3 linked regions of the Struthio camelus genome follow. The protein of the gene in region 3 binds, or shares a complex with, the protein of the main gene of each other region. Links are inferred from orthologs where the notes say so. Each region holds a gene or a part of one and is shown on either strand. Other genes may lie near its edges. The genes, in order: AHI1, MKS1 and CEP290.

Region 1 (11,319 bases), on a different chromosome or scaffold from region 3:
TTTTCCTGAACTTTCACCATTAAGGCAACCAAACAAAACCTGGACGTGTTCACACTCACCACAATATTCTCTTGAAACTTCTTTTTCTTTGATTTCTTTCTGTTTGTTAGGCCAGCATGACTTCTGAAGATCTCTTCAAAGCGAACTTTGGTTTTTGCCTTTGCCTCACTTTCAACTGTAAAAAGAAGCTAGACTATCGTTTACCTGCTCAGTAATCATCATTGCTAAAACAGTGCCTAATGACACTTTAAAATTGCAATATATGACAGTACTTTATTAGGAGAAAATCACCAAGAAATTCAGTTGGAGCTGTTAAGATTTTCACTGACAATGTAAACTTCCTGAGGATAACTCAGCAGTAAAATTATGAAACGCACCACATAATTTCTCGTTGCAGAAGTCAGCACTCTACCGATTTTGAAGGGCATACACAACAGGATCAGTACAAGGCCCTAGGCTACCTGAAGCAGGGGACAGATTACTGCCCCCCTTGTTCACATGCAGCAGTATACTGCTGCTGGAGATAACATGCTGCTTGCAGAAGGAGTGCTGGGTTCAAACTAAGGCTGGAACCCAGAGGAGACAAGCAGCAGCTGCTCTCTGAGATGGAGCTGCAACAGACAGGAGTGCTCATGGACTCGAACTCAACAGGAGCTGAGACTCTGCCTTTCCGCGAATCATGAAACTGCCATTAGCACCATTTCAACCCTTGAAGCAGGAGGTGTTCTAGCTCCTCCCCTGAGGCATGCTCATTTGTAGCCAAAGAATTAAAAGTGTAATTTGGTACATCACTAAAAAAGGCTATTGAATCTTCAGCTATTATATGTTTACCATTAGAAGTAAATTTTTACCAAAAAAAGGCAAAAAAACCCTCGAAAATCAGCTATGAACACTGACTCAAAACTAAGTCAACGCATTACAAATTTATAGATAGAAGTAACTCCTATCATTCGCATCTAGTTCTGATTATAAAATACATATTAGAAATCAAACACAAAATAATCTTACCTGGTGGCATTTTCAGTTCTGAATTAAGAATGGCTCAACATACTACCCGTTTCTTCCTCCGAATTCATCATCCTATTTAAAGTAATTAACAACTTTAATGAACAAATTGGTCCATAGACTTGATACTACAAATTTAATGCATGCAAATTAATATCAAGGATGAGTACAGGCCTCAATTCAGGCATACAACACAAACAGCCTGAAAATAAATATTCGCCCTAGTTATGACAAGCTCTCTGCCCTACCATCTCAGCGCAGGTTTCTCCCTAATCCGATGCTTTTTATTTGTGAATAAATAAAAAACAATGCTACAACAATTTAAATGACTTTTTTTCCTGGGCAGCCAAATATCTCAGTACTATAGTCCTTCTATCTTTTAAAAAAATGCACGATTTATCTAAACAGTTATCCATAAAGCCATTTACAAAGAAGCCTTTCTATCAGATTCCTGCCCTGATAACATCATCAGGAAAGCAACATTTTAGTCAGCTGATAGCCTCCAGTGCAAAGATTCATAGCTGCCAGTAAATCTAATTTTATTGCAAATTTCTAAATATTTACGTTTACATAAATCCTTTGCATTTTACATAGAGCAGATGAGCAGTTACACAAAAGTCATTTCTTTAAAGAAAAAATGTTAGGCCCTCCTGGAGGGGGAGAAAAGCTTAAAAATGCAATCCAAGTAAAGCTTAAAGGCAAATAATATTATACAGCTTTATCTTTTCATCAACAGAATTTGATATGTTTTACAAAAAACTTCAATACCAAACAATTGTTTTGTAAATAGTGGAACTAATGAAGCCTAGCTTCCTATGTGTGTATTACCTTCCCCTTAGCCTTACATGCAATAAATTATTATACCTACCTATCTCACCAATAGCCTGTTAGGCAATAGCTCCAAGTTCTCTTCATGTAATACCTTCTGTTACACCCTACTATCTAAGTACACCCAGACTAGTACATCCTAGTACATCCTACATCCATCCTAGTAAATTAAGATGTACCGGCAAATATTGCCAGTCTATGTAGTTAAATTATCCCTGGCACAGTTTTAGTCCAAGCCAGCTAGCATTCCCCCAAACAGTGCTACTTACTGCTTACAGTAGCCTAGTCTGCCAACTGGCCAAGCCAAATCAAAAAAAAAAAAAAAAACCCAAACAAAACAAATAAGCAAACAAACAAAACCACCCCAAAACAATAACCACTCAAAAAAGGAAAAGACCTGAGGCTGGTTTGGAATTACAAAAGTACTGATTAGTCAGCTGCCAGGTTTCATTAGTTTATTTTGTGTATCAAGCAAAAGCATTTATACTAACTATCCTACAGTCTAAGCATGTTTGAAATGGGCAAGGCTGACCAGAGCTGCCTTCAGAGGAGGAAAAAAAATGTTTTGTTCCATAATACGTTTCATCATTTCACCAACAGGGTAGCAGTATTTTCCCTTACTAAAATGTATTTTGCCTGATAAAGCAAATCTTTACTGTCACAATTAAAACAGTAATAGTTAAAAGTAACACAAACGCCTAATTCTTACAAGATATGAAGAAGAAAACATGATTAAAAATGAATCTGCCTTTGAAGTTTATACTTAGGTACATAGAAAGCCCATTCTAAAGCCCATGGCTGTTAAGTGCTGCTTTTCAATTACTGAATTCACAATCAGCTGGAAAATATTTATAATTTGAAAGTGCAGAAAATGAAATATAGCTATAAAATATAGCAGAGTCTGTCACTTTAATCATTCACTGCAGATTGTAGAAACACAAAAACTGCTGTTATTATTAGCTTAGTGATTTCAACCACCTTTGAAAAAAACCAATGCTTTTTAGATTTAATACAAAGAAAAAAATATGAGGAACAATATAGAACAAAACTGCAAAGTAAGCATGGTGTATACCTATTCCAAGTATGAAAATAATTTTATAGCCAAATGATAAATAAATCACACTACAAAAAAACTACAGACAAATTAATTTTGCAGATATTTTTGCTTATCATTGAACAATTGCCTCTCCAAGGGCTTTGCCCGTCTTATTTCCACCACTATTCCTCTGCAAAACATACAACGTACCAAATTCACCGGTGAGTTCACCACTCTATATTTACCTCTATTTACTCAGCAAAAATATCTATCTTAGCAAGTCCTATGACAGCGCTGTTATTTCCAACATATTTCCAAGTTAGAATTACATAACCTTTGACATAGCGCATTAAAGCAACTTGTGTAAATATAGCCCATTAATCGACAAGGGTAAGAACAAGGGTGTTTGCTCTGTATAATCTCACCTTAAAATAGGAGAGAGTTAATCGCACAAATTCAGCAACCACAGTACCCCGATCTGAATAAATTCAGTTGTCATTGAGGTGCATCTGTTCAGTGGTATTTCTGCATGATCAACTTTCATCTTTTCTGTGTTAGCCAATATAAGACAATGTTTCCAGGAATGACAAAAAAAATCACACTTGGGAACAGTCAATTCCAGCCATCGAGAATAGCCAGAAAAACAAAATCATGGAGCCAAAGCTTCCAAGAATTTACTGGGCACCTTTCTGAAAAATCATCTAATTTGCTGTCCTCTAATATTTTGTCTTTATTTATAAATGTTTTTTTCTCCAATTCATCAAGCTATTGCTGTCTTCACAATAGCTATATTTTGTTATCTGTCATAGAGATGTTTTCTATCCCAAACACATCACAAAGCACGCATCTCAGGAAAATTTCATTAACCCCTAAAGAAAAAAAGTCAAATCTATATCGTAATGAAGGAGAACATACACAATTTGTTCAATGTTACATGGTAGTGACAAGCCCCCCTATCCGATTAAGATCGCTATGGAAACTGAATTGATAGACTATAATTGCATCCTTCAGAATTTTAATGAACTAAATCTCATATTTTTCCACTATTGCAAAAACTAAATGTAATCTTCAGTGACTAGAAACAAATGGAATCAGACTTTTAAATTAGATCAGTCATCATAGTGGGATACCTTGGGTTTTACTAGTAGGTTTCTCACTTAAATATTTATAGGTATCACTCACTTAAATATTTATAGGTATCACTTCTTCTTCAGAGCTGAGAAAGGTTTAAATCATAATTATACAGCAAAGTAACAGTAAAGAATCTGTCCCTATTTACTAATGATGGATGTGATACCAAAAAGGAGCCCATTTTTATTCATGAAAGTTATTTAAGTGGCATTGGCTGTCAGCTTTCTTAAAAGCCTTATTATTACCACATAAACACCTATGAATCAGCGTATCGAAAGTATTACTAGAGCCACTGCAGCTTTCTAGCTGTTTAGACGTACCTGCAACAAACTTGTGTCCACACTACTTTAAAAGAACATTTAAAAGCGCTGATGCTATCTATCCATTGAATTGTGCACGAGTAACATACCAGAAAACTTTAGTTTCTGAGTAGTCGTCATTTTTTCCAGAACTCTCGGGACCTTTCGTTAGTTAGAAGGTTGAATTAAAATCCGTCCCTGCCCTAACGGCAAAACTATGGATTTCAGTTTCCTATAAAGCAGTACATCTCACTTGATTACTTCGTACAGTTTTAAGTCTCTGCCTTATCACAGATTACAATTACAAAAATGAGTTCTCGGTAACAGACCACGCTTAGGTATTTATTTCCGGAACGCTGTTTCTCTTTGCCTAGAGGAATAACGGAAAACAACAGAGATATCAAGGGCCACTAGAAGCATCCAGCACCAGGGGACTAACGCATGGGACCGGGGCGCCCCCCGCCCGCCCGCGCGAGCTCCGGCAGCTGCCGCGCGCGCCAACAGCTGCGTCGCGGCGCGCGCTGTAACGGCTGCCAACCCCCAGCCCGAGCCCCCCGCCCCCGGCAGGGGGAAGGGGAGAGGGATAGGGCGACTCCGAGGGGAGGGGGCTCGGGGGAGGGAGCAGCGGCGGGGAGGCGTGCCCCAGCCTACCCGCCTCTCCAGCAGCCGCGCACCGTAAACGGGCGGCGGCAGCGCCCAGGCGGGACCGCGGCCCTACGGCGGCCTTCCCGCCCACAGCGGGGGCACGGCCCGGCGTCGCCCCGCTCCCCCCCGCCCCCGCCCGGCAGCTCCTCAGCAGCGCGAGGGCATCACTCACTTTGGCCTGTCGGCTTCACGCTCGGCTCCGTCCTGCCGTTGTACTGCCTCCCCCCGTCACTGGTTTCTCCCTCATCCCGCGAGCTCCCCCCCTCGCAGTGCCTCGCAGTTGGTTTTGCCGAAAACAACTACAAGCTGCCAAGGAAACAGCGCGCATGCGTGCAGGAGGGCGGAACGGGGAGCCCGCACGGCTTGGGTTTCACGTCGGGTCGGATTAGGTGGGGCACCCACACGGCCCTTCTTGCCGGACAGGGGGCGTCGGCTGGACGGCAGCGGGGCGCATGCGTGGCGAGCTGCCGGAGCTCAGCGGAGCGCGCCTGCGCGGCGGGGGCAGGTGCTTCGACAGGCGTTTCGGCAGTTTGTGGGGCGCGCGGGGGGGCGGCGGTGTTCCTCGTGCGCATGCGCGAGGACGACTGGTGGGGGTGGGGCCGCCGTCGTGCGGGGCCGGGCAGCGTCCGTTTTCGCGTTTGGCGCCCCGAGGCGGCGGTGGCGGCGCGGCGCGGCGCGGCGCGGCTGGGCCTGGCCAGGAGCGCTCGGGCCGCTGCTGCCGCCCGCGCCGAGGCGCCGCCTGGAGGCGCCGCTTCCCGCGGTGTAGTGCCACTCGTCACGGCGCAGGGCGCTGCGGAGCCTCCCGGCCTCGCGGCAGTGCTCGGGCCGCCTGGCGGCAGGCGCTTCCCGCCGCCGGGTCCGCCGCAGGCTGCGGCCAGGCGGTGCCTGGCGGAGCTGGCAGGTGGCGGGGGCCGAGACAAGCCCTTCAGATAACATTCTCCGCCGCGGGAGTGCGCTGGCCCGGTTTGCACCCCGCCTTTGCTCGCTGCGCCTACGTGACTGCGTGTGGAAAATGGGAGAGAAATACTAATCATTTAAGAGCGATGTGCCTTGCACAGATCTCTTTATTAGACCAGGACAGTGTATTTTACAAAACAGAGAAAGGTCAGAAGCTTTCATTAGTTCTGCAGTTGCTCAGGCGTCCTGAGCCTGTTCGTAGCTTTGCGTTCTAATGGGTGACAGATTGATAAGCCCCTTCTTGAAAAACATAAAGTGGGAAGTTAAAACAGGAAAAAAAACCGTGGAAAGCTTTAATAACAGAGCAGTCCCGTAAAGATACCTTAAATTGTAGTTCATTTCAAAAGTCAAAACCCTTCTCTGGGCTCATACTAACAGTGAAAGTTATTTTAGAATAATAAAGTCTCTGGCTAGTAGATCTTTATTGCAATCGGGAGTTTTTCCGTGGACTGCAGAGCAAAGACATCTGCTCTTGCAAATGGCAGCACAGACGTATGTACTGAAGTTAGACAGATGCTTCAGAAACTTTTGTTTTCTCTGTGATTTAGTTGCTAATTTAAGCAATCTTTTGTTCTCTAGGTATAATTAAATACTGATGATTATCAAGACAGATTTGATCATTTCTTATTTGTAAGTGGATGTTGCAGGTTTCTTCAACGCTAGAGGGCTCACTGTTTTAGCTCCTGAAATCAATGCCGGTCTTGAATTAGCGTGACTGTATCTGTTCATAAGCCAAATCAGGCAAAATTAGTCTTCAGTTCACTTTCAGTTGACCATGTACCATTTGTATGACCTAGAGGTCAGTGAATGCTTGTGATACTGTGGTTGTGACATTCGCTGTTCTCAGGTATAACAGTTCCTAGAATTCTGTCAAGATACACCATCTGTGTCAAAAGAACATACGTCCTTCTTTGTTTGCTCCTCAAGATGCATTAATAGCAGAAGCTATTTTCTTTTTCCAGTTCTCTTCTGCCCTCCTCTTTCTCAAATGCATGCAAATGTTCAACTGGTAGGGGAATGAGGTATTAGCAGGACAACTATTGCCTCTCACGGTTCAGATAATTTCATTTTTGCTTATTACTGATATATAGGAATCCCTGTAATATGGAGCTTCTTGGTTACTAGTGACTGTCCCTATCGTTAAAATGAAAATATGGAAAACCAACCAAACTAGAACCAAATGTGGAAGTTAATCCTTTTTATATTTAAAGCTATGAGAAATTCTACCGATTCTACTGAAATTCTACTGACCACCTAATGGTCTCTGGGCTAGTCGTAAGCTAGATATCTCAGTCAGCGGCAGCCTTTATTTTGGCGTTGTGGTCCCAGGAAGTTCCAGCAAAGAATAGAAGCCTTCCATGCCACCTCTTCCATCCTACAGGTAAATTTCTACGTCTGTGGTCTAGCAGGATTCAGGAAAAAAGGAACCTAACAGTTTTTTCCAGACCTTGTATGTCCCAAACTCTGATGCAAATCCTAGCCCCAGCCTTCAATACAGAGTACGTGTCAAAATGGTCCCCCAAAAGAGAATACTGGTTGATGATTATTGTGATGTGTTTACTCTGTTCGACTAGCCGTACTTTATCTCCATGGTTTGTTTTAGGATCCAGCAGAAAAGTTACCTCTTCAAAACCTTTTTCCCTGAACCCGAACACCAATACCAATCTTAACACTTTGGTACAATCAGGAAACTCTATTATAATAGTGTCAAGAGACTTAAGAGTAGCCTCATAAGTATTTGCAAGCCAGCCATCTAAGTTTCTAACAAGCATCTAAGCATTATTAACAAGCCCTAGTCCGAACTTCAACCTTGGCTTCTAATACAGCTGCAAAAGGCTTTTAATACAGCTGTGAAACCTACTGAAACCTACTTCACCTCTGCCAGTAACTACCATTCTTGCAGTCTTGCTAATGTCCATCAATGCTCTCTTGAGTAAAAAAAAAAAGCATTCTTATAATAATGATTTTGATTTTTCTATAGGATGTTGACTATAGTGACAGAATTGTCAAAACCTACAGGGACTGTTCTTACCCTCTGTTTGCAGTAATTAACTAATATTCTAAATAACTTAGAATTGCTCTCCATTTGCATATTATATCATGGACATCTTGCAGGTCAGGGAGAGTGTTTATTAGTTTTCCTATTTCAATAGGAAATAGCTATTTCAATAGCTTCCTCAAGGGAAGGGACAGAGCTGTGGTAAAGATGTTTGTCTCTTACTAAAGCAACACCAGCTTACTTCTTTTAGAATGTCTTACCTTCTCACTGTAGAAGGATTGAAAGGTAACTTAAAATGCATTATCAAGGGCAGCAGAACATTCTGTCCTTCAGATTTGACAGCAGGTGCTGCTTTATTGGCTGCATTTGTAGGCAGTACTGAGTATAATAATCGTTGACTTTTGCTAACACCTGTCTTACCATAGCATTGTCAAGAGAGCGCTACTTGGCCCCGTTCAAAACTGTCAAGAACCATGCTGACAATTGAACAATGGGGGCAGTTGCATATGAGACCTCAAACCTTATTTAGTTTACCGGTTATTGTGGTTTAATTGCAGCTATTAATCAGGATCTGCGATTAGAGAATATGAGAATGGGGCCTACATGGTTTCTGCTCCAAACTTCTACCATAGCTCTGTTTCTGCCACTTCTGGACTTTTAGCTTCTAAATATAGCCTAAATATAAGTGTCTGATATTATCCAAAATAACCTTTGACACCCTGCTTGGCCTCCAGCTCTGTTTTGGATGTTTGATATTCTCTTGGCTTTTCCGAATTATATTCTAGTCAGGGGTCAAATAAAGGTTGTTGTTTTAACCCTAGTGTAGTTACTATACCTCCACAGGCTATGCTTAACTAACTTGGAACTGGGCTGCACTGCCTTTTCCAGTGCTTTATTAGAGCTTTGGCTGACACTTCTGCTGAGGCAGCTGTCCCTAGGACTGTGGCTAGTAGCCCTATGCCAAGTGTGTCAGACATGGTGTAACAACCTGTGCTGAAAACTAGATATATTCTTAAGAATCTGTTATAGGACAATGGTGAAGACAGACTCCCAAAAGCTTTCCACATACCATGTTCTACTGCAACCTTAGACCTCCCTTGCAAAGGTTCGCAGTTACCTGGTATAATGCCACACAAATGCTGTCCTTCCCCATAAACATAAGGCTACACACACTGCACATCTGCAGATATTCTAGAGCAGTCTGCCATGTGATACCAGTGCAGCACCTATCCTGGTGTCTGTCTCCAGGAGACATTTTTTATGAATCAGGATGTTTTGCCACTCACCAGTTCTCTAACGGAATCATTCCCATGTTACACAAATTAGTTTTGCTAATTTGCGAGGCATACTAAGTGAGAATTAATAAACAACAGCCCCTAAAATTTAACTCTTCAGCCAGGACTCGGCTTGCAGCAACAATAGCTGGATTCATATTTTAATGAGTTCAGTAATAAACAGTCTCAACCTCTCCAGCCAGAAACCTGAAAAAATTAAATGCTCACATAAACAAATTAGCTCAACAAAAAGTATCTTTTGAAGGGTGGGAAGAGACAGGGCATTTCAGAGGTAGACTACATAACATACAATACTTAGTTGTTCTCTCCTGGAGTGTACCTGTTACTCTTTCCTGCCTTCAGGGTAAGCGAAGGGTTGGGTGGCTAGCTCGTTCTGACTTCCAAAATGACCATCTCACTCATACTTAGTAAAACTTTAGGGTGATCTCTGCTTGTATCCCTGCTCGTAGCAAGAAGTGATCCGTACTACTGGTTACTGGTCTTGCTCCACCAGTGATGCTGGTTGCAATACTAATGCTAGTTCACTGGAGCTTTTTTTTTTTTTTTTAAAGCAAAGCTGCAAAGAGTATTTAGGTTTGCATCCCAGGGCTCCAAGCCTTACAACTGACAGTTTTCCTCATTTCATAACATTTTTCTCTCTTTCTCTCTCATCTATCTACTCTTTTCTCTTATGTTCAATTCACCTTTTTTCCACCATATATCAAAAGAGTGTTCCTTCTGGGTTACGCCTTCCGGTATTCTAGGAGAAGAAAGATTTCTACTTTATTCTTCAGGCCTCAGCCATCTGATTTGCAGTAGACCCTGAAGGAAATCTGGGGTTTGATAAAGGTTGATACTAGTTACAGGTTTGTGAATGAGAGAAATTAAAGCCCCTATTTTTCTGTGGATGGCTACGGAAGACTTTCAAGATTATGTTAAAACTGGAGCCCGAAGGGTCAAGAGACTGGTGTATAGATCTTCGGTTTATCACTGCAGCCTGAAAGGTACCTAGCAATAAATCTAACAGTCCCACCTGCCCCTGGCTTCTGCTACGCCTATTACTGATCCATAGTCCAAAAGGCTGTTATGGTTAGTTCTGAATTAGTAAACAGCTTACTGAGGATGTGGTTAAGAATAGTTCCAGTATGAGACCCAGGCTCTAGGAAGTCACAGAGTCACAGACTCACAGAATGGTTGAGGTTGGAAGAGACCTCTAGAGATCATCCAGTCCAACCCCCCTGCTCAAGCAGGGTCACCTACAGCACGTTGCCCAGGATCCTGTCCAGGCAGCTTCTGAATGTCTGCAAGGAAGGAGGCTCCACAACCTCTCCGGTTCCAGTGTTCAGTCATCCTCACAGCAAAGAAGTTTCTCCTCATGTGCAGATGGAACTTCCTGTGTTGCAGTTTGTGTCTGTTGCCTCTGCCGTGTCCTGTCACTGGGCACCACTGAGAAGAGTCTGGCCCCATCCTCTTGACACCCTCCCTTCAGATACTTACACACATTGATCAGAATTCCCCTCAGTCTTCTCTTCTCCAGGCTGAAGAGTCCCAGCTCCCTCAGCCTTTCCTCATATCAGTCCCTTCATCATCTTAGGAGCCCTTCACTGGACTCGCTCCAGTGGCTCCGTGTCTCTCTTGTATTGGGGAGCCCAGAATTGGACACAGTGCTCCAGATGTGGCTTCGCCAGGGCTCAGGAGATGGGGAGGATCACCTCCCTCCACCTCCTGGCCACACTCTTCCTAATGCAGCCCAGGATATCATTTCACCTTCTTGGCCACAAGGGCACATTGCTGGCACATGGTCAACTTGTTGTCCACCAGGACTCCCAGGTCCTTCTCTGCAGAGCTGCTTTCCAGCAGGTCAACCCCCAGCCTGGACTGATGCATGTTGCTATTCCTTTGCAAGTGTTCCCTTGGTTGAACTTCAGGAGGTTCCTCTCCGCCCAACTCTCCTGCCTGTTGAGGACCTTCTGAATGGCAGCAGAGCCCTCTGGTATATCAGCCACTCCTCCCAGGTTTGTATCCTCAGCAAACTTGCTGAGAGTGCACTCTGTCCCTTCCTCCAGGTCACTGATAAATAAGCTGAACAATGCTGGACCCAGTATTGACCCCCGGGGGGCACCGCTAGCTACAGGCCTCCAACTT
Region 2 (10,952 bases), on a different chromosome or scaffold from region 3:
GATTGCTGGAAAACCAGGACGTTGTGTGCAATATTCTCTTAGTAGCTAAAGATGCATATCCAGTACTGCGTGCTGTATTCAGAGATACCTCTTTGGCTGAGTCTGAATGCTCAAGAGAAACTGCTTATGCATCAAAGCAGAAGCTAGTCAGTGATGAGGGATAGACTTCAAAAGTGTGTGTGATTCCCCAAATGCTGCATCTGAACTGCCCCACCAACCAGATGAAAGTTCCAGGGGATGGCACCCCCCAGCAAGAAAACCAAGAAAACCCAGGTCATTACTCCAACCTGTACCTAGAGAATTGCGTCCTCCCTTCAACGGACATCTCTTCCTTCCTGTATGCACTTGTAATAGTTGTGATGAGGTTTAGATCCTATTTAAGAGACTGTCTTGGCTCACTCTCACTCTCAAACAGTTTGAGATGCTTTCCAAGATCCTGCACAAAGTCAAGAAGCAATTTGTCTTTGATCTTCCTGGAACAAGCAAAACAATTGTGGCTTTGAAGATCATGGAGCAAATGAGAAACATCTTCCACTGTGAAAATCAGTCTCTGAAGAAGTTTGTAGGGTAAGAAGTGATCTGGTCACTTGGATTAAATTGGTGTTACCTGAGTAATATCAAATCAAAATAACTTCAGAATAACCCTCCTCTTACTAATTCTCAAGAGAATTAAGAGCAACTCCAAGGAAACCAATAGACCACCTCCACTGCAGCTCTGTCTTGTGGCTCTAAATCATTGTAATCATTCACTTCCTTGGAGAGGCAGGGTCACAAGTCACTGACTCAAAACATTCATAGACTTAGAAGAAATTTGGTTCACTTGTTTTTATCTTGGTCTGATTTTTAAATCTCAGTCAGATTTTGAAGTAGCTAGATTCAGTTAATTGTAAACTGTCTAAGCAGGGAGTTTCAAGGAAGCATGTGGAAATGTGTATATTTCCCCTTTTTTCTTGCATTCCATTCTCTGCACATAAAGAATAAGTTCTGCTGATTTGGCATCCATTTGCCGAATAGATATCTTTGGCTGACACAAACACACAATAATCATTTTGAGAAAAGGTGTGGATATTAAAAAGAGAAGGAATGGGAATGAAAACCAGAATGAACTGAGCTTTGGCCCAGATACAGCATTCGCTAACTGCAGTGAGACTCACACATTCAGTGAATGCTGGATTGTGTTAGACTTTAAATGACTAAGGTCTTAGTTTAACACTCTTGATTGTCAAGCCTGGTGCTGACACCAAAAATGACCACCTGCCTTCCTCAACATTGTCCGTGCTGGGGTTGATGCAAGCTTTTTTGCAGCTGTGCCATGAAGTAGACCTTGGACTTGTGCCATCTAGATAAGCATAACAGGAACGAATGCCTTTTTGGTAGAGGATTTCAGCCAGAACATTTCTCCAGTCCTGTTCTCACTGTGTTTCCACTTGTGTCAGCACAGAGAGGTCAGCAAGCCACCATGGGTGGACTAGACACTTTGCATCAGGAAACCACAGCCTATTTCAGACATTACAATACCCAAGCAATAATCCCTGGCCTGAGCAGAGCAGATCACCTGGCACAAGTGCTTACTGTCCCCACTCACTCTGGGAAGAAAAGGGAACTCTTCGTTCCTGCTGGAGCTCAGGCGCTGCACAGCCATGACCACAAGGTTCATGAACCTAGGAGAGCGGGACTGAGGGACATACCTGGGGGGGGCCTTGCCATGAGGCCCCCATATAGGAAGGGTGGGCCTGAGTTTTGACTCCTGCTCCTAGGGCAGAGCCAAAGCCATTTGGCCAGGGGCTGGGCAGGCTGTGTAGCAATGCTTGCACACAGCCAATCCATTGGAAATAAATATTTCCATCTTGCAAATGATGTAGCACCCTGGAGCTGAGATAGGAAGTTTTGCTTTTTTAGATAGTAAACAGCAATAGCCCTCCAACCAACAACATGCTAAGAAACAGAGAAATAGTCAATACAGATTTGTCTGATCACTTCTTTTTATTTATCCATACTTTTTTTTTTTTCCCCAGAAATGAGACTTGCCCGTCTGTGACACATGTTGCCTTCTTAAATGGGGACTTCCCATTGTGGTTGATGAAGCATAGAATTTTCATCCAGAAGAAAACTGGTACCAATGTGCCCAGGAGCTAATGCAGAAAAACAGTCAAGATGAACCGAACATTTTCTGCATCTTCCTGGATTTCTTCCCATCCGCTCATCCATATGGTTGCGGTCTTCCATTTTCAGAACTATATCGTCAGGAATGGCTGACCAAAGGAGTCTGTAACGCCCAACAAATATATGATGCCATGTTTCCTGTAATGGAGAAAATTCTCCAAGAATGTAAATACTTATGCCATATGGGACACTGGAAATGTTGTTTAAACAGGCTGGAAGTGCCCATTCATTGCCAGGTGGCTACAGAATAAAGAAAAATATGGAAACATTTGAAACGGCAGAGTATGTGACCAGGATGCGCCATCAGTTATATCAAGCATGGCTATTCCTTCAAAGATACTGCAATCCTGTGCAGTACACAGAAGGCAGCAGAGGAGTTTTATCGGATCCTGGAACCTGCACTAAAAAGATAAGTAAGGAAATACAGGGTAAGGTTGGTCTTTGGGACAGCAGAGAATGTTTTAGGAAACATTATCATTCCTGACAGCATCCAACGTTTCTCAGGCCTAGAAAGCAGCGTTGTGTTTGGCATCCACCCCCATGCCTGCACAAAGGGAGATTTCTCTCAATCTTTTACTGTGGATAGCATCCAGAGCCAACGCCAAACTCTGTTTGCTGCTTCACAAAGAAAAGATGTTCCTAGAAGACATCTTTAGATGATGGCTTACTCTTCTGTGAGTCTGCAGACACTAGATTGCTTCACTCATTTTTTGTTCAGTGACATTACAGGGCAGCATTAAGATTGTCTGATGTTTTTTTCATTCTGTAGTTTATGCCAAAAAATTATGCAGTTCCATCTATACATTTGGTCATGTACAGGCCTGCAATATTTCATAAAGTTGATTTTAATGGAAGGACATCTCACCTGGGGAGGACAAATTGCTGAAAATGGCAATTACAGAAAGAAGTAAATGATTGCAAACAACTTGGACAAATTATAGAACAGTTTGGAGACTTGTTCTTTCAATTCCCCTGCTTTTTTAAACTGATTGCATGATTCTGACCTGTTTCAGCACAACAGAGTGGAAATACTGGCTGGAAACACATCGGGGCCCTCTGTGATTGGATCCCAGCTGGTGCAGATGCAAATGGTCAAAATCCTGCTTTTTTCTAGGAGGGAAGATGTTGGTGAATTTTTAGCCACATCTTCCCTTTTCTCATCCAAAAAGATATAGCCACTGCCTGCTTTTGGGACTGTCGTCACCTCCTCTGGGACTGGGGCTGTAGTTTTGTGGCTACACTGAATCACCTTAAATGCAGATTTCTGCCAACAGAGGCAGTTCTGTCCTCAACAGCACAGTCCCAACGCTCTCATAAGCAGGGTCTGGTGTGTAATGGTGCGGTAAGTTGGGAACTCATTTTTTTTTTAGAAAATTAGTCTTTAGCCAAATCACTTCTACCTCATCGTGCAGCTGGCCAAGTGCTAGAGGTGGCAGGAATATGCTCCTTGGAGAAGGAGGCAGCACTTCTCCTTCACCTTGCTTCCTTTTGGCAGCCGCTCACCTGTGTACCCACTCAAGCTGTTTAGAAACTGCAGCAAGTCACCAAGATTTCTTTGTTCTAACTGGGACTATTGAAATTAACAAGATGTTGCAATGCCGTGTGAATGTTGAAAGCTCAATTCTTACTGTCAGGTCAAATTTGATAAAAGCAGTATAGCTCTAAACTCTGATTGTGCAGAAAACGGTTGAGAATCTACCACATAATTAAGTCTTCTCTTTCCATTTCAAATGCTAACTGTTGCCAGAGCTTTGCCGATGTTTGTCTTATAATGCAGCTCCTATTACTGTTTGCTCTGACACAAGGCACTATTAGTGGCATGAAAATGTCATATTTGCCCTGAAAATGACATTTTGCCTCTTATACAATTATACAAGCTTTCTGCTTTTGCACAGAAATGGTCGTTTGAACCACAAGGGATCAGGCTGGTGGGCCTCCCACCAAACTGAAGAGCAGGGGAAGGTGGCAGGACAGAAGAGCCTGAGCCTTGGGTGAAACATGCGCTGTGAATGAGGCCACAGAAATTCTATCCTTTGTAGTTGGGAAGGCAATAGTCCCATAAGAAATGAAAACTAGGCCCAGAAAGGAGTAGCACAGGATGTGAAAGAGAACCAGAGCAGTATGCACCTTCTACAGGGATGCCAGAAGGCTGAGAAAGGAGTCAGGCACTTGGAAATGTCTTGCTCTAAATGGAGACATTGATGTACTGGGCTGTGACCAATCAATAAGTGCCTACGATGGAAGACGGATCAGAGAATATGGGCAAGGGTGATGTGCCCGTGAAGGTCGGGGAAGAATGTAAGGTGTGACTGGTCACAGCTGTTGCAAAGAAAGCTGAATTTATCTCAACTCAAAGGGGACTGGAGGGCAGCCTTTGTTTTAGATAAAGGGCTGTATCAGTCAAGTGGATCCACTGACTCCATCACAGTTGAGTGGATCAACAGGTTATGTAAATATTTCTCCCAGAGTTAATCAAAAGAGTGTGAATGTCTCCCTGAGTTAGCCAGACCAGCATGGCAGGGGGTGTACACATGACTCGGCCCAACATAGAGTATGAAACCTAAACAACTAGCAAAAGGAATTTTGAAGAGAGCAATGGGCTTGAGCTGCTTCCAATCCACGTATTTCTTCCCTGAGACTGGGGAAGCCCAGCATTGTGATGGTGAGCATATTACAGAGACCAGTAATGGGAATCACTTTTGTATTGGGATTTAACTGTATGTTGCGATTGCTGTATTCTGCTAAGTGTAACTTACGCTCGTATTGTGGTTTCAGTATATTGCTGTATCACTCTGCTAAATCAAAATCCCGTGTAACGTCAAATACCTTCAAGTAAGTAAATCTGAAATTAAACATTGCACCCTCCACATGTGGAATATCTAAAAGACCGTGATCGGAGATTACTGGACTCTGAAACAGGCCTGTCAGAAATGTGGTGGAGGGACAACGACTGGGGAGCTGCTGAAGGACCAAGGCCAGTTGTGCTGACAAAGCACAATGCTGGATGGTAAAAAAGCTAAAAGTCACATCAGACTAACAGTGCAGCCACGCCAGTGCAGGCTCGTCCCCTCCCTTCAGTGCCGCCAGCCTTGGGGGGCAGGAGGCGAGGACGCAACGCAGTCTCCGGAAAGGCAACCCGCGACCGAGCCGGGCGGCCTGTTCGGGTCCGGGAGCGGCACGGCGCCAGCAGCGCGGACGGCCCGCATCACCGACGCCGCGGCCCCGCGGCCGCAGCCCGCCCCCGCCCCGCCGGGCTCGCTCCGCCGCCGCGGGCCGCCCGCTGCCCGCCAGCCGCGGGGGGCGCTGGCGCCGGCGCTGCCTCACGCGCCGCCGCGGCCTCGCGTCCAGAGGGAGGAGGCGCGCGGCCCGCTCGGCGGCCATGGAGGAGCCGCTGTGGAGCGCGGACGCGGCCGGCGCCGTGTATCGCTCCCGCGACCCCGTGCGCAATCTGCGCCTCCGGTGAGGGACTGCTTCTCCCCCCCCCGGCCCGGCCCGGCCCGGCCCGGCCCGGCCTGACGCTGTGCTCCCTCCCCGCAGGGTTCGCATCCAGCGGCTCACGTCCGCCGGCCTCCTCCTTCAGCAGGCCCCGCTGCCGCCGCCCGCCGGCCCGCGCCGCCCCGAGCTCCTCGGCCTGGCCGCCCGCCCCGCGCCCGGTACGTGGGGTGCCCCGGGGGCGGCGCGGGCCGGGGGCAGCCCTCGCAGGGTGCTGCCGCAGGTGACCGGCCCCTGTCCCGTAGGTGCCCGGCGGCCCCCGGACGAGGAGGAGGAGGCCGTGGTGGCGTGGCAGGAGAAGCTCTTCAGCCAGGTGGGTGCGCGGCGGCGGCGCCTGGCCTCCCCCGGGGCACGGCTCTGCCGCCGCCCGGGCGGCCGCTCTGCTCCCCTGCCCGCTCCTCCGCTAGTCGGGGCGCCCGCCCGTTTGTGGCTGTGAGGGAGCCGGCATGCAGGCCGGGAGGCAGTTTGACTGGGTTTCTCCTCAGCGTGCTGCCTCTGCGGCCCCCAGACAGCCATGTCTCCCGCCTGTCCGTGCATCCCCTCAGGATTTCTGTCCTTGGGGTGAGCTGCTGTGTCTGAACCCCTTTGGGAGGGCAGTGGTGGGTGCTGTGGGCTACCTCGTCCCAGAGTGGTATCAGGGCCATACTGGACATAGGGCTCTTGGCTGGGATTCCCGGAGGATCTTATCCCTCTTTGATGCCTTTAAAAATCTCAGCTGGAAAGCTTTTCTGGCTCTGACCATGCTGATGAAGTGCAGCTTTTACGTTTTACCTGTGGTGCTCTCAGTTTGAGGTAGATCTGTATCAAAATGAGTCAGCCTGTCAGACTCCCCTGGACTGGCAGTACCATGAGGAGATCCTGAAACAGGAGAAGGCTGGAGGTCGGAAGAACTATCGCATCTTCACCTACACTGATCATGACCGATTCACCAACCTGGAAGAGGTACCAACTCCTAGGTACACATAATCTGTACAGCAGTATCTGTCAGCAAGGCCAAGCCTACAGCTTTTTAGGGCAGAGGGGAATGTTTATAATTTCTTAGGCATGCAGAAGCGGGCTAGACATCATGAAAGCAGGAGAACATACTGCCTCTGCAAGGCAGAAGTGGTATGTTTACCTGGTGCCCCAGAGCTGGTGCCCTCTCCCCTGGTGGAGTTCAGCTGTGCTTTGCCACAAGAGTGGAGAATGAAATCTAGAGTGTTTTAGTAGTTTGTTCTTACATGTATGTGCATAACTACTTGTGTTCTCCCCCAAGAGTGAGACTGTGTTTGAGAAGGATGTCCTGTTGTAATTAGGCTAGTTCTAACTGTGTTTCTCTCTTCCAGCACTGCCAGAAGGTTACTGACTCAGTTCATGAGGTGCCATCGTATCTGGCAGAGAGGATGGCCACTGTGAGGAGGAGAAGACAAGACCGTAGGCCAATGTGAGTGCAAAACTAGGGCTCAGAGCTTGCTAATGCAGATTTCTTGGTACTAGTGCCTCAGGTGTGGAGGAACCTGGTCTGTGGAAGTTGGCAGCTTGAACTGCATACTGAGAGCTCTCAGGGACTGGCTTTTGTGCTCAGAACTGGCACTGTGACTTTTCATCCTGGAGTGTTTAGTGCTGTCTGTGCCAGGCTGCTGTGGTGTGTTGTATCTGATTGTCTGACAAATGCAGGTTATGCTGTCCTGTCATTGACAGAGAAGGGAGTTCTCTGAAGTCGAAAGTCATCACTTGGGAGCCCTCGGAAGAATTTATAAAGAACAATCATGTGATTAACACTCCTATTCAGACCATGTACATCATGGGGGACTTGGGACCTTATGGAAAGTAAGTAACATCTTGAACTGATTTGGTCTCCCAGATGGAAACTCATCTCCCCTCCTACTCAAATCACCTGGGGAGGGAATTCTAAGAGCTCAGTAATTCCAGCTACTATTTCATTCCTCTTTCCTCCATTGGGAGGCACTTCCCAAAGGTTTCTTATACTACTAGGGAAGTATGGGTGTGTTTGTTCCCTCCTGTGTCTCCATGTGCATTTACTAGCGCTGCTATTCCAGAACAAGAAAGTGTACATGTGCTCTATTTAGACTGTGTTTGTCTTTCTTGGTATCTTCCATTAGGCTTGGTCACAGGGAATATGAACATGTTCTTTGTACAATCAAGGTAGACAGCAATGGTGTGATCACAGTGAAGCCTGACTTTACTGGCACAAAAGGAGCCTACCGGTGAGTGGGACAGGGCTGGTAGCACTAGCGGGACTGATACAGAGGGCCGAAATTGATACCCCCGGTCAACTTTCAGGCAGTGGATCAGCATTTAAGTTGAGGGATATTTTTAGCTTTGTTCTAGAGGCTCCTGAGACAGGTTATTGTGTATTTATGCTTGGTGTCACTGGGCATATGATCTGGGCTTTGGAGCCAGCCCCTAGGAATACAGCTTATATGTTTGCAGGATGTGAGTGACCCTTTTTGAGCCATTGATGCTGGCAGGCACTTGGGAGCGAGGAGACGGTCTTTAATGCCCTTGTGTTACTTCACAGGCCTTGTAGGGAAGGGATGGCATGGTTGATAATATTGCTGCCTGGGCCTATTCTTTGCCTAATGGGGGAGTTTTGCCCGTGTGTTTTGGGGCTCTGCAGGATTGAGCTGGATGGAGAGAAGCGAGAGCTGTGGAAATACACCATTGAGAATGCGTCTGTCCAAGTGCAGCAGGAGGAGGAGGAACGGGAGCAGCGTGTGTTTAGAGATGTAAGGACCAGCTTCCACTGATTATACTGGCTAGTTCTCCTTTCTTGGCAGAGGGAGCTCAGACATAAACATTAGTGCTTTAGACACCTAAACTTAGGCAAGATGAATGTCACTGAAGGTGAGTCTCATCTGCCTAGCAATTTGAAAACTCCAGCTCATTCAAATACTCCCTGAATATTCTGCTTCATTCCTTGGTCTAGGTTGAGATCTTGTCCGTTTGTGAGTGGTATTCATTGTGTTGACCACTGACTGCAGTTGATGTTTTTAGTTAGGACTGAGGCAAGAAAGCACCTACATTCCTGTCTTTCTAGTGTCACCTGCTGATGGTATTCCTTCCCTTTTAAGCAGTGGGCCAACTCTTTCCTTGGTCTTCCTCTTGCTGCATATATAATTACAGAATGATTTCTTGTTGCCCTTAATGTCCCAGGATACTTGGATCTAATTTTGTGCCTTGACCTTTCTGAATTGCCTTTTTGCCTTTGGCAGTTTATATAGGTTATTAATCTGTCTCAGTCTGTGATTTGTACACTTCCTTATTGCATTTGAGGTCAGTGAGGAAATCATGATTTAGCTGCACTGATTTCCCATCCATTCATTTCAGTGGAATAGTTTGTGCTTGTGGTTTTAGCACTGTGTCATTTAAGAGCTGCTGATTCTTTGGAGTTTCTTTTTTGTCTAGATTGGCCTTTGACAAGGTCTTCTCAGAAGCTGAACTTTCATGCAGTGTTAGCAGTTATGCATCTTTTATTGTATTAGATTCTTAAATTTTTACATTACTCTATATCTGCTATAACGATAAAAGAACTGTTAGCTATGCCCATCAACAGCTTAAATTGGTTTTATTTTATACCCTTTTTTTTTTTTTTGCAATAATATAAGCAAAAACAAATAATCAAAAAGACAGTTTTTGTAATCCACTTTTTCTGTATTTCCAGCTGTATAGTCGGCACAAAGAATACCTCAGAGGTCTTGTAGGCTCAGAATTTGAAATGGTGAGTACCACTGGCACTCAGTAGGCACCGGGTGACCTGGTTAGCATGGCTGCTCTGTGTACCACGGTCTCCAAAGATCGTGTAATTCTGGGGATGTGTTGGCAGCTTTTACCATGTGGCTTCTTACTGAAAATTGGGCAGAGGGAATCCATTTGCAATGCTTGTGGAGGTCCAACATGCATCTGTCAGACCTGCAGCACAGACTCCTGGACACTGCAGTCTCTGAGGTTGTATGTGTTGTCTGGAGGCCTTTGACTGTAATATTCTGAGAAGAAAGGAACGAAAGTTTGTATTTTGGGGGACAGGGGTTGCTATTAACTTCTTAAATGCTAGACAGATTGCGTCACTCCGTTCGATTAAACAGTCTTCCCACCTCCAAACTCAAACTCATGTATGCTTTCACTGATCACCAAATTACCCAGACTGGAATCTGTTCTGCTCAGATCTTGTTCCCAGCAGCTGAAAGTTTTTGTGCTTCTTCTTGTACTTCAAAAGTGTGTTTCAGCTCTTCCTGTGCTTGTTTTATTCTTGGGCTAGTGCAGGAGCACTACGGTGGGAACTGTAAGTGACTTCAGACTGAATCTTGTGTCCACTTTGAAGTACTGTAAAAGCCCCAATTTACAGAGTAGTGAACTCTGGCAGTCTGGGAATTTGGTCTAGGGAGGCTCTATTCAGAGAGACTGGTCACTTCTGGAAATGACGGTGAGCTAATACGAGAAGTCAGGTTTCCTTCCTGACCAGCAGGAAGCAGGTTAAAGGATGAAGCCTTGAGGTGCAAGAAGCCATGAAATATCTGTGTGACACCTTGCTGGGAGAGGGTTGTGAGGAGTTCCACCAATAGTCGCTAAGTTTTTTTATCTTCTTTATCTGCTTATTCTCATAGACTCTTCCTGGTACGCTACGGCTGTTTGTGAATGGAGAAGTAGGTGAGTCCTTATTATTAACAGTTGCTGTAGGGGCAAAAACTGGGTCTGCTGGGATGGCTAAGGCTAGAAAGAGTTGAAGGATTCTTGGTTCACAGGCCAGTCCAGAGCAGATGATTCTCTCTCTAGCCTCCTTTTCTTTCTCCTCTTCCTCCTTCCTTCTCCTCCCCTGTTTTTTTTTTTTGAATTAATCCCTTGAGTGGCATTAACAGATTGGAGATTACAAACACAGCAGCTGTTGTAGGAAACCGTGTAAGTCTGAAGAAGGGAGAACAGATTGGGGAATTAATATAGATTATAGCAAAGAAAGCAATTAAACATGGGACCTCCATAATCTGGTGGCAGGGACAGGGCTCATCCTGAGAAGGAATCTTCTCTGAGGGTCATGTTCTGTTGCGCTGAAGAACCTGGCTTTTCCCAGCTTCCAGCAGTAACTGACTATCCCTGAGACCTTTGGTGCTGCATCTCCCACACTGCAGTGAGTACTGGAGGAGTTTATGTGGAAGCAAGAGGCTAAATGTTCATTCTGTCTTCCTCTCAGTTTCAGCCCAAGGCTATGAGTATGACAACCTCTATGTTCATTTCTTCCTGGAGCTGCCTAAAGGTGAGTATCCCTGTTACCAGCCACATCACAGCAGTTTAAGAAATAAGGC
Region 3 (10,449 bases):
TGCTTCCAAGACAAGCACAAAACAAAATTGAGGAAGTGTAAGACTACATATAATCTGTCTTTTTCACAATACAGCAGATATTTTTCTCCTTCCCGACTTATATCTTGGCATTCCAAGGTATTCCCCTGAAATATATGCTAAATATATGTAATATATAAATATATACTACAGATAAAGCTAGGAATATTCCTTTCTCACCAGTCTAATGACAGGATAATTTAAAGTTCTTGCTGAATTAAAGCATAAATGTGGAAAAGATTTTTTCAGTCCTTTATATTATTAGCATGGCAAAGTGGATTTTGAGCAAGACTCGGCGTAAGAGCTACCACTTCCTGTTTGCTTCCACAGCTGTTTACAACCAGACTCTTCACCAGTCAAAGTAGTTAAGCTTCAAACTTGGAACAACAAGTTGAGAATGTAAAACAAAATAGGAAGGAGGCCAGTAAAAGCTCCCCTGGATTTAGTAAGGTAGGCAAAAAAAAAATCTATCTGCCATTCATCTCAAAAAAATAGCAAATGATATTTGGCAGCCAACACTTCCTTCACGCCAACAAAGCTGTCATCAGTTTGATTTTGGTAAGTAAGAAGTCATATACGTAGTATGCAAGACTAAGAACCTCACAGATCATAGATGTGCAAGAGAAGCCTTGGTATGCACAGGGGTCCTCAAATGAGTCAAGGTGAGTGGATATCATCCTTGCCAAAGAGACATGTTGAAATTTGGTATCAACCCAAGTACGGTGCCACTCCTTCACCACTCCCAGTGATGGATATACTGATAAACACCTCTAAAACATGCTGCCTAACAACCTGTCTTGCTAACACAGGCTTTCTGGGAGGGAGAACCATATCACTGACTGGCCCTACACAGATCAACAGGTTGATGGTAAGTCAAGTTATATTTTGACTTTAGTTACCTTTACTTTCACAGCTTGCAAGACTGCACATCAAATCACCCCTCGGGCAGCGTGACTATCCACTCACAATCTACAGAACTGCCACAAAGTCGCTGTTTGACTGGAGGAAGTGAGGACAGACATATGCTTTACTTCCAAGACTGCTGTTTTAATTTACAATGATACCTGAACGCCTCATGAAGAATATACAGCTTAAAACAACAAGCAGCAAGATACACCTTGTGAGATGGAAGCTGCAAGATTTCAAGAGCTGCTTGTGAAAAAACAGAATGCCCCAGCTGTGCAAAATACTTGATTGTTAGTCTAATTTTGTCAAGCTGCTTGCATGGAAATCTACAGTTTGCATTGCACTATTTTCATGCCTGTACAGAGCCATTAAGCAGGAAAGACAGATGAGTAGGCGTTCATGATCCAGAGCTCTCCAGTAGGTTTGGCCTGTAAGATAGTATTCTTCTTCCAATTTGTTGAGAACCCTCTGCCAGTACATCTAGTTTTCTTCTTCAAGAACTATAGACAAGAACGGGATATGACATAAAAGCCAAAACACTTCTAGAAAAGTAGCAAAATAACAAAAAGTTTCTTAACAATCACTATCAACTCCATGATACCATAGACAGGTGAGGACAGCACACTACAAAGTATAGTTGTCTACACAGAAAGTTCAACACAAATACATGCACAAACGAACACATAGTGACACTCCAATGGTATCCTCAGTTGGGAGATTTGGGAAGTGGGAAGCCACTTTCTACCCATATGGATTTAGGAGAAATTAGAAAGTATAAATTTGGGCAGGAATACAGCTGCAATCCCTAAACATAAAACAGCAATTTACCATTCCATAGTTAACTATCAGCTAATAAATATGCTATCTGCCACCTTACATTTACAATAAATCCTTGCAGAAGGAAATAACAAATAATACATTTGTGTTGATTAGATATAACTTAAGACCTACTTTTAGAAGCTTGAAAACATATTTAAAAATTTTACTGTACTGGTTAATGGCACTTACCTTTTTTACACCCCCCCTCCCCCGCACCGCTGGCATGAAGAATAGTTTACGTTTCAGTGAACCCTGCTTGAAAGAAAATGCTCTAGGCAACTCATCCTTTTCTTCTTCAGAAAGATACGGGTAGCAGCAGTAATAGAGAATTGGGGAGAAAAAAAAGGAAATACTTCTGTATGGGAAAAAAGCTCATACACTTAATCCCATTCAAGATTTCTAGAGATCATTAGATCTTATCTAATGACAAGATCATTAAAATTCATCTCAAACTTTAAAACTGTTACAGCTTTTGGATGAGAGGACTTACTACTTCAGAAGACACTCAGCATAACTGACATCTTATTGATATCTCTGGCTTCCAATTTAAAATTCAGTTCAAACCAACAAAAGTAACAAGCCATCAGAAAACTGAAACTTAGAAAATGATTCAACTTATTCATTGTCCACAACAGAATCTTACTGCATTCTAAAGACTTAACTTTATCATTCTCATACACTGAAAATATTCTCATTCTCAATTTTATTAAATATTCACAGATATTAAAAAAATGCCTTACACTTTCAGTCATACCAAAGCTTCATTACAAGACAACAGCATTTTCAACCACAATCAAACTGCAACTGTTCTCTATAGACAATGTAAGCAATAGTGTGGCCAGTCTGCAAAACTCCATAGGCTCACTTTGATGAAGAGTGCCTTGCATGTGCAATGTGAAGCATAATTATTATCTCAAGGAGCCTAATTCTGTGTTATATTAATGAGGCAGCTGGCAATGAAAAAACAAGCAATTTGCACAGGGATCAGGTAGCCTCTCAAAAACCTTTGTAAACATAATAATGATCATTTGTGTACATACCTAATCATAACATGTGGATTCCCCACTCTCTCGCTTGGAGTTCTAAGCCAGCATAAGACACAGACATACATGGAAGAGATCTGCAGAACTGGACTTGCATCTCAGTTACTCTGGAGACATGTACTTTGATAATAACTGAGGCTCCCTAACTAATTGAAATGTATTTACAGCTCACACAGAAAAGTGACTCAAACTATGAAAGGTGTGTGTGGGGGGGGGGGAACAAAGAAGGCTGAATTGGTGAATACCAGACATATACGATAGGTTGCCAAAGCTAGCAGTTTAGTCACTTTAAAAAGTTATTTTAATCCAGCACCTGAAGCTGTAGCCTCACTTGTCTTGCCTTCTTGGTCCCCTTTCTATAATTATTTCATTTTTGTTAAACCAAATATTCTGTCTGCTGACTTAGTATCACTGTTTAATGATAGAAAGAGATCATATACTGTATTTCTGTTTGTTCTGTTGTCCCTTTTCAAAACAGCCTTTAAACTTATCTTCTCCTAAAAATGCTGTCCCAAGGCTCAACTTCAGTTTGAAGCACTTTAGATCCACAGTTGAGGTTTAAATGATTGGGTTAGAATAGCATATGGCAGGCAGTATTTGGGAAGACAGAAGGAGGAAGAACACAAAACATGCCTGTACTCCCCTTCCTCTGGCTGGGACCCTAGACTAGAAAAAAATTAACAGAAGTTTTAATGGAGCAACCTCCTTCTGCAAATACCACAGGATCAAGGGGAAGTGGGACTAATCTGCATAATTTTCTAATCCCCATAAGGGGGATACATTACACTCTCAAAGCCTCCAGCTTTCTCTTTGCACAGTTTATTAAGTATCAACTAGTTAAGGAACGCCAATTCTGACTCGGAGTCAGAACATGTGGTGCAGGAAGGAGGAGAAGTTTCAGAGTGGGGATGACTGTGAAGTTTGCTGGCAATCAGCCAGCTGAACCAGAACTCAGACATTTTAGGTACCCTGGTATAAACAAGTATCAAAACATATACAGTGTAAAAATGGATAATAAGAAGATACTGCATTGTTTAGTTTCAATTTGTTCAATACACTTGATGTAACAATCAGCTGAAATACAAACTACACAAGAATAATACATATCTTAAAATAATTAACTCTTACAGGACTTAATAACTCATTAGGTCTGCCTTTAAATTTTTTTTGCTACTAAGCTATACATTTAAAAAGTAACAAAAGAATACCTTCTATATTCAGAATAACTGCAAGAATATAATGCAATGTTTCCTCCTAAGACACAGATGCAAAATATCACATCTCTAAAATAATGCTAATCAAACAGATCAACACCCTCAATGCTTCAGAAATACAATACTATTAACTGCATGTTCATTAACTCCATAGATCAGAGTATGCTACATGGGTAGCATAGGCTGAAAAGGCAGCCTTTAGACTCTGCTATGCATGTCCTTATTTAGTATGCTTGGACCACATGTGCCTCTTCCGTAAATAACATTTTATTAGATCTGTAATACTGCAGTTTTTGTATTAGCTTTTTGAAACAGCATACTATATCAAAACTGTGGTTTAATACAGATGCCCAACTCCTGTATCAGGGTAGGTCAAGCTGCCTATGATACAACTTAAATGTGTTCTGGCTCCAGATCTACAAGCATGCATTCTCACCAAAAGAAGATGCACTTATAAAACTCTTACCACATGATTAAGTGTGAGGCATAACAAAAAAAAAAATCCACTTTCTCAAAGCCATTCTGTATTTTGTATATTTCCCCTTTTAATGTAGGATTACTACTTCCATTCTTTCCATTCTATTTTCATTTTTTAAAGTTATCATGCCTACTTCAAAAATCCCCTTTAGCTCTACAGCAATCCTCTTGACTATCTATACTACACAATTGTGAACTAGATGTGGTTGCACTACAAGTACATGTAGTAGCTTTTTTGTTTTTTTGATTCTGTAACACGACAACACAAACATAAATGCTAAACCTCATCCTGCAGCAAGTCCACATAACTCTGTGCCAAACTTATTCTCTTTGGATCACCTCCACCTATAAAGCTCCTCCAACTAAAGAAATCATTGATTTACACTTAATAACGATGAATTTTGTTTTTAGTCACATTACCTATTCATGAAATATAGTCCTGTCTCTCTTTTCCTGCCCTAATTACAAAGTTTCCTTTTCTTCCCCACTACAGAGCTATAAGTAACCAGCCTCTGTCAAAGGTATAAAAGCCTTTACCTTCATTCAAGAATTAGAGTTAAAATGTTACTGGAACAAGTTACATAACTGTAAGGAGTGCCAAGCGTCTTGAGTTGTGTCAGCCTTCATTAAATATAAACACTGATTAAGAGATAGCAAAGAAAAAGAAATCATGAAGCTAGAGAAAGCCTAATATCAAGAAAGTCAGAAAACTACATTAGGATCACCCCTCTCCATCAGTACAGAGAGCCAACAAAAAGATCTTGAGCTTTCAGCACTCCTGCTGAATGAATACAAAGACATAAACACAATTCCAATGGTTGCTGTTTTCCCCCTTTTTATTTGAAAACGTACGTTCGTGCCCAGTTAGCTAAAACGCAGGATCCCAAACCTTTGGGGCCATCCGACACTACCAACGCTCACGGGGCCTTGCAGACCACCGGCAGAGTCAAGAGACCTAACCAGTCTATAGGTGCGATCCTTCCCGTATTGCTCTGCAAACTATCCTTTGAGGAGAGATTGTTATATACTTACTCACACACATATACACAGATAGAGAGACTTGGAGAGTGCCGCAGCCCCTGCTTATTTATACACATATACACAGATAGAGGGACTTGGGCAGTGCCGCAGCCCCGCAGCCAGCCACCCCTGCGGGAAGGCCCACACTGCCTGCAGCAACAGGGGGAGGCCGGGGGTAGGGGCCTGGGGGAGGGGGGGCAGGGCAAACGGCCGCCGCTGGGCACGAAGGCGCCGGTGCCTCCGTGAGGAAAGAAGCGGGCTGAGCCGCAGCGCGGGGCCCACTGCCCGCCCCCGGAGCCGGCTGCGCGACCGAGGCCCCGAGGCGGCACCGGAGCCCGGGCCTCCGCGGCCGGGTGCGGAGTGGGCGCGGATGAGGCCCGTGCCGCCCGGCCAGGGCAGAGAGGACACCTACCCCCACCGCGGAGGACGACCGCGGGCAGCATCAGCTCCGTCGGACCCCTCCCCGGTGCCCCCTGCGGAAGGAGGGCCCCCCACGCCGCCGCTCCCCACCTTACCTGAGGCCGCGGACGAAGCGCCCTCGCCACCGCCCACACCCCGGTGCGCATCCGCCCGCCCTCCGCCGCCGCCGCCGCCACCGCCACAGACGCCCCGCCGCACTGCGCACGCGCACACCGCCCCGCGACGGCCGGCGGCAACCCCTGCCCCGCAAGGGCTGTCGGGAAACCGCTCAGTCAGTGGCTGGACGTCCTCAAGGTGTGCCGGGATCTGTAGTCCCGGCGGAGGCGCACGGCATGCTGGGACACGTAGTCCGCCATCAGCAGCGGGAGGTTGCCGCCTGCCGCCGTGGTGAATCGCGTGTCCGGGCGGGATGGCTCCCCACCCCGTCCCGCTTTCCCGCCCTGCCCCCGTTTCCGCACCCGCGGGGGTCGCGCCGCTCCGCGATGCTGAGCATCGGTGGTGCTCAGCTTGCATTGTGGGGCTTGTAGTACCGCGGGAGGCCTGGCCCGCCCCCGAGTCCACGAGGATCCGGGTCGCCGGGAGCGGAGCCGGCGGGAGTGTTTGATGGCGTCGCCTAGCAGCGGCCTCTGCCGCCATCGTGGCCCTCGGGGAGCGGTGAGGTCGTGAGTGGGAGGCGACGCTGCGCTGCGGGAAGGGGCCGAGGTCCCGGGGCTCCGTCCTGTCGCCGCGCGGGACTGCCGGCTCTGCCCCGGGGGCGCCGTGGTCAGCGGGGAGCCGGGCCGCGGCTCACCTGTGCGGGGCGGCGGCGGCCGTTAGCGCCGTTACAAACGCGGCGCGTGCGGGGGTCGCTGCGGGGCGGTGCGCGTTTGCGCCCTGCTGCCTCCGCTTACAGCTGCGCGTCACCTCCGCCCCCGCCTGAAGGCGGACACGAAATAAGGTGGTTTGCCGCTCCGGAGGAGGCGGGCGAAGTGGAGGCGGAATTGTATCTCGGCAGCATCGCGGAGGAGTCGCGGTGTGTGTCTCGCTGTCACTCCCGGGGCCGCGATATACAGATTTGAAAGAAACGGGAAGCCTGCACGGGATCCCGTTTCGGGTGTGGCTTCGTGGTGCGGTGCAGCCCTGTGTGCTGCTAGTATAGGAGAGCTCGTTCTGGATAACCTAGTCTGTAGATCTAAGCTGGGATAATCCTCCTAGAGTAAATAACTAAGGATTTAGCAGAGTGTGTCTCCTGCACGACTGTGCTGCTTTTTAGTATTTAGTCTTGCTCAAGTGTACGTGGCTCTGTATTGCATGTTACGTGTGCCTTTATGGAAGAGGAATGGCTCCTCCTAATGCTGCTTAATTCACTGTGATGAAGATAGTGTATCGGCATGGTAGTTTAGCTGTCTTCTCTTCATGTGGCTTATTGTAGGCAGCACTGGGTGTTATAACTTGAACTTGCCCGCCACACTTCCCTTTTTATCTGCCTTACAGAACTCTCTAACATCAGAATGTTTTATATATGCTTGGTTCCCTAGCTAAGCCAAGAAAATCTTGTGTTAACTAAAGTCAAACTCATGTATATTTAACTGCTTTTACAGAACCGTGATCTCCTCTCCCCACCCAGATCTGTCAGCTAAAAGGCACACACTGTAGTGAGGGGAAGGCGTCAGCTAAATTTTAGGACGGAACACTTTTCAATTGAATAACTTATCTTTATTTTGTTGTCCTCAAGTATATACATAGTGTGGAATGTACTGTACGTTTAGGTTGTGCCCCCAAGAGCTTACTCTAGTTGTCCCCCAACAAGTTGGATTTTGTTTACATATATTATAGATAGATATATATCTATCTCTTTCAATACAATTTCAGATTGTTTTCTTAAAGACATTATTTAGTAAATAAATAAAAAGATTTTAAAGAGGGAAGATTGGATAACAGTGTCAGTAATAAGGTTGTAATAATGCTCTCAGAATAATTTTGACTGTCAGGCATTTCATATTCATAACTTCTGCCTCTCAATTGTTTTAAAAAAAGTGTTTAAAAGGAAAAAAAAAAACAAGTAAGTTAGTGAGGATCTTGAAATTAAGTAGCCTTCAGTTAACTGAAGAAGTAGGTGTGCCAAGATCAGTATGCTCTTTCTCTATTATTATATTTTTTAAATGAAAGACTATTAGAAGATGATTTTGTTCTCAGATTTTTGGGTACATATTTGTTATTGAAAGCCTTCCATTATGTTTGAAGAGATGAACTCAGAATTTAAGTATTAATTACTATTTTAAGTTAAATATTTCTCATTCACTGACTATGGTCCATATCCTTATGATGCTGTTAGCTCTTTTGTGCTCTCTGCCCTTTAGTCTTTTTCAGTCTTTTTATATTTGTGGTATGATATGGTCATTTCTTCTGTCTGCTCTAATAACGTTTTATCCTTATGAATATGTCTTCTCTTCATTGCATCTGCTGAACTGACATTTTGAATGTCTCCTGCATGTGATTTTCTGGTATTTTCCTTTGTCCTCTAGGAAAATCAGAAAAGCAAAATTTGTATATGATATTGTTAGGAAGCCATGGATTATATAGAATGCATGTTTTCTAAAACATTTAGTAAAAACTAAAGAAACAATAAATACAGAGAGAGCTGTCAAGTAGCATGCATCAAAGCAGATGAGAAGAGTTTGATTTTTATCCTCACTTATGTGTACACTAGGAGTTCAGAGTTTTCCAGTTCTTTCAGATTACATAGGCATATTTCCTGGGAAAATAGTATCACTTTCATTAAGGAAGGAACTTTCAGTTGTTGAGTCTTCAAACTGCTGAATGTGAACAGGGTGAATGATGAACAGATATCAAAATACTATACTCAATCTACAGCTTTGCTGTAGTTCTGAGAGAAGTCCCCCCCCCCCATCATAAAATACCTATCCCACTTGTGTTATTAGTTTACTTAGTATTAATGAACTAAACATTCTTGTTAATTTTATGTCTCTCTTAACTTTCTGAACCGTTAAAAGACGGATTTTTAATTTAGGGCAATATGTAAGTAGACTAAAAATATTCCTTTTAAACTTGGCAGAATTCAGCTTTCGACATATTGCTGATATGGCGGTAGGAACAGCTCTGGAGAATGTAGTAATCCAAGACTTCCATTCTCTTTTGCCTTTTTCAGGTACTCCAGGCCTATGGGAAGTCACTGTGACCCGCAGCAACTATCAGGTAAACTGTAAAACAAAACTTTGCACCGCTTCCAGATTAGATTTTCATCAGTTTCCAGATGGTTCACTGTACTTTTGTGGTTCAGGTACTCTAATCAGAAGGAAAGGATATTTAATACAAGAATTCAATGTCTTACAAATGAATTTCAACAAATGGATATGAATAGTATCAAACTAAAGCAAGTGCTGTGCTTTAAACATAAGAAATAATGATTTTGTCACTATAAGGAGATTTCTGTCCTACAGCAGCTGCAAATGCTAGTTCTAAAAAAGAGCATCTAGCTGCAAGAACAAGTGTTTATACATTAACATAGGGGCGCTGCATTAGAAAATTGTGAAGGACAAAAAAAAAATAAGAGTTAAAATGAAGGTTTCACATGGGTCATCTTCAGTATTTGTGGCACGAATTCTTTGATTGTGTCTGGTCTAATTTTTAGCTTAAAAAAAGGTTTTATTATAGACCTCTTGGTTACAGTAGACCGAAATGTGAACAGGGTGTTAATCTGTGTTACAAAATCCATACAGCTATTTAGTATCATCTTATGTGGTTCACTGGCCTGCCGCTGTTAAATCATTCGATGAATGATTTATTGACAGTGATAACATCTTATAATTGTTACTTTTATTTTTGTTCCAGGAAAAATATTATAAACTCAACATGGCACCCATTTTAGATTGGAAGAAGCTTATGAAAATTGATCCAGATGCTCTTCCTCATCAAGAGGAACTAGCAGATAGATTGCTGGAGACTATGTCCAAGGTACTCAAGGGGAAAACAGTGAACAGAAGGGTTTTGTTTTACTTTCTTCCCTCAACTCTCTCTGGTCCTTCACATAAATAAATGATTTATTTTTTAAATTCTATTGACGTTAATACAAAAATACTGTTGTCTGTTTCCTTAGGTTGATGGAAAAGACTTAAAAAACGAAGCTTCTGAACAATTGATACATCTTTTTAAAATTACACAGTCCCTAATGAAGGTTTGTTTTACTTTCTACACTTCTGTAGTTTATTTATTTTATGTAAGTGAAAGCATGGTCACTCTTTTTTTTTTTTTTTTTTTTTTACTGCATTGGACACACTGCTTACTCCTTAGAGCAGTTATATGCTAAATGTGTGCATGCACCTGAATTCCTGCTTACAGCTGTTAGGACTGTAGCATGTACCAGTGGGAACTGAAGAGAATAGAACTAAAGCAGTTGTATAGTTAAGGAAGCTTAGTTTTATAGGTAGAAAATGCAAGCAAATACCTCAGAAATAGGTAAGGTGTTGTAAATTATTGGTAATGATTTTAACTTTATTAAAAATTTTTGTGGCAGTCTGATGTTTTGGAATAAC

The links.
Region 1: CEP290 (region 3) and AHI1 share a complex: the UniProt entries of both Homo sapiens proteins name them as parts of the tectonic-like complex. The link is inferred for Struthio camelus from reciprocal best matches to the Homo sapiens genes CEP290 and AHI1.
Region 2: CEP290 (region 3) and MKS1 share a complex: the UniProt entries of both Homo sapiens proteins name them as parts of the tectonic-like complex. The link is inferred for Struthio camelus from reciprocal best matches to the Homo sapiens genes CEP290 and MKS1.

Annotation. Positions count from the first base shown.
Region 1 is NC_090944.1:73,412,240-73,423,558, forward strand, and holds the start of AHI1 (jouberin), read right to left. Parts: upstream 5,435-11,319; 5' UTR 5,117-5,434; intron 4,713-5,116; exon of another isoform or gene 4,410-4,712; intron 4,381-4,409; exon of another isoform or gene 3,295-4,380; intron 1,081-3,294; 5' UTR 1,019-1,080; coding exon 1,009-1,018; intron 176-1,008; coding exon 60-175; intron 1-59. UniProt on the Homo sapiens protein: Involved in vesicle trafficking and required for ciliogenesis, formation of primary non-motile cilium, and recruitment of RAB8A to the basal body of primary cilium.
Region 2 is NC_090957.1:9,051,581-9,062,532, reverse strand, and holds the start of MKS1 (tectonic-like complex member MKS1), read left to right. Parts: upstream 1-5,482; 5' UTR 5,483-5,542; coding exon 5,543-5,622; intron 5,623-5,700; coding exon 5,701-5,968; intron 5,969-6,441; coding exon 6,442-6,597; intron 6,598-6,980; coding exon 6,981-7,078; intron 7,079-7,311; coding exon of another isoform or gene 7,312-7,335; coding exon 7,336-7,464; intron 7,465-7,757; coding exon 7,758-7,862; intron 7,863-8,275; coding exon 8,276-8,384; intron 8,385-9,319; coding exon 9,320-9,376; intron 9,377-10,259; coding exon 10,260-10,302; intron 10,303-10,840; coding exon 10,841-10,903; intron 10,904-10,952. UniProt on the Homo sapiens protein: Component of the tectonic-like complex, a complex localized at the transition zone of primary cilia and acting as a barrier that prevents diffusion of transmembrane proteins between the cilia and plasma membranes.
Region 3 is NC_090942.1:49,140,298-49,150,746, reverse strand, and holds the start of CEP290 (centrosomal protein of 290 kDa), read left to right. Parts: upstream 1-6,244; 5' UTR 6,245-6,571; exon of another isoform or gene 6,572-6,929; intron 6,930-9,065; 5' UTR 9,066-9,112; intron 9,113-9,748; 5' UTR 9,749-9,769; coding exon 9,770-9,871; intron 9,872-10,013; coding exon 10,014-10,091; intron 10,092-10,449. UniProt on the Homo sapiens protein: Involved in early and late steps in cilia formation. Its association with CCP110 is required for inhibition of primary cilia formation by CCP110.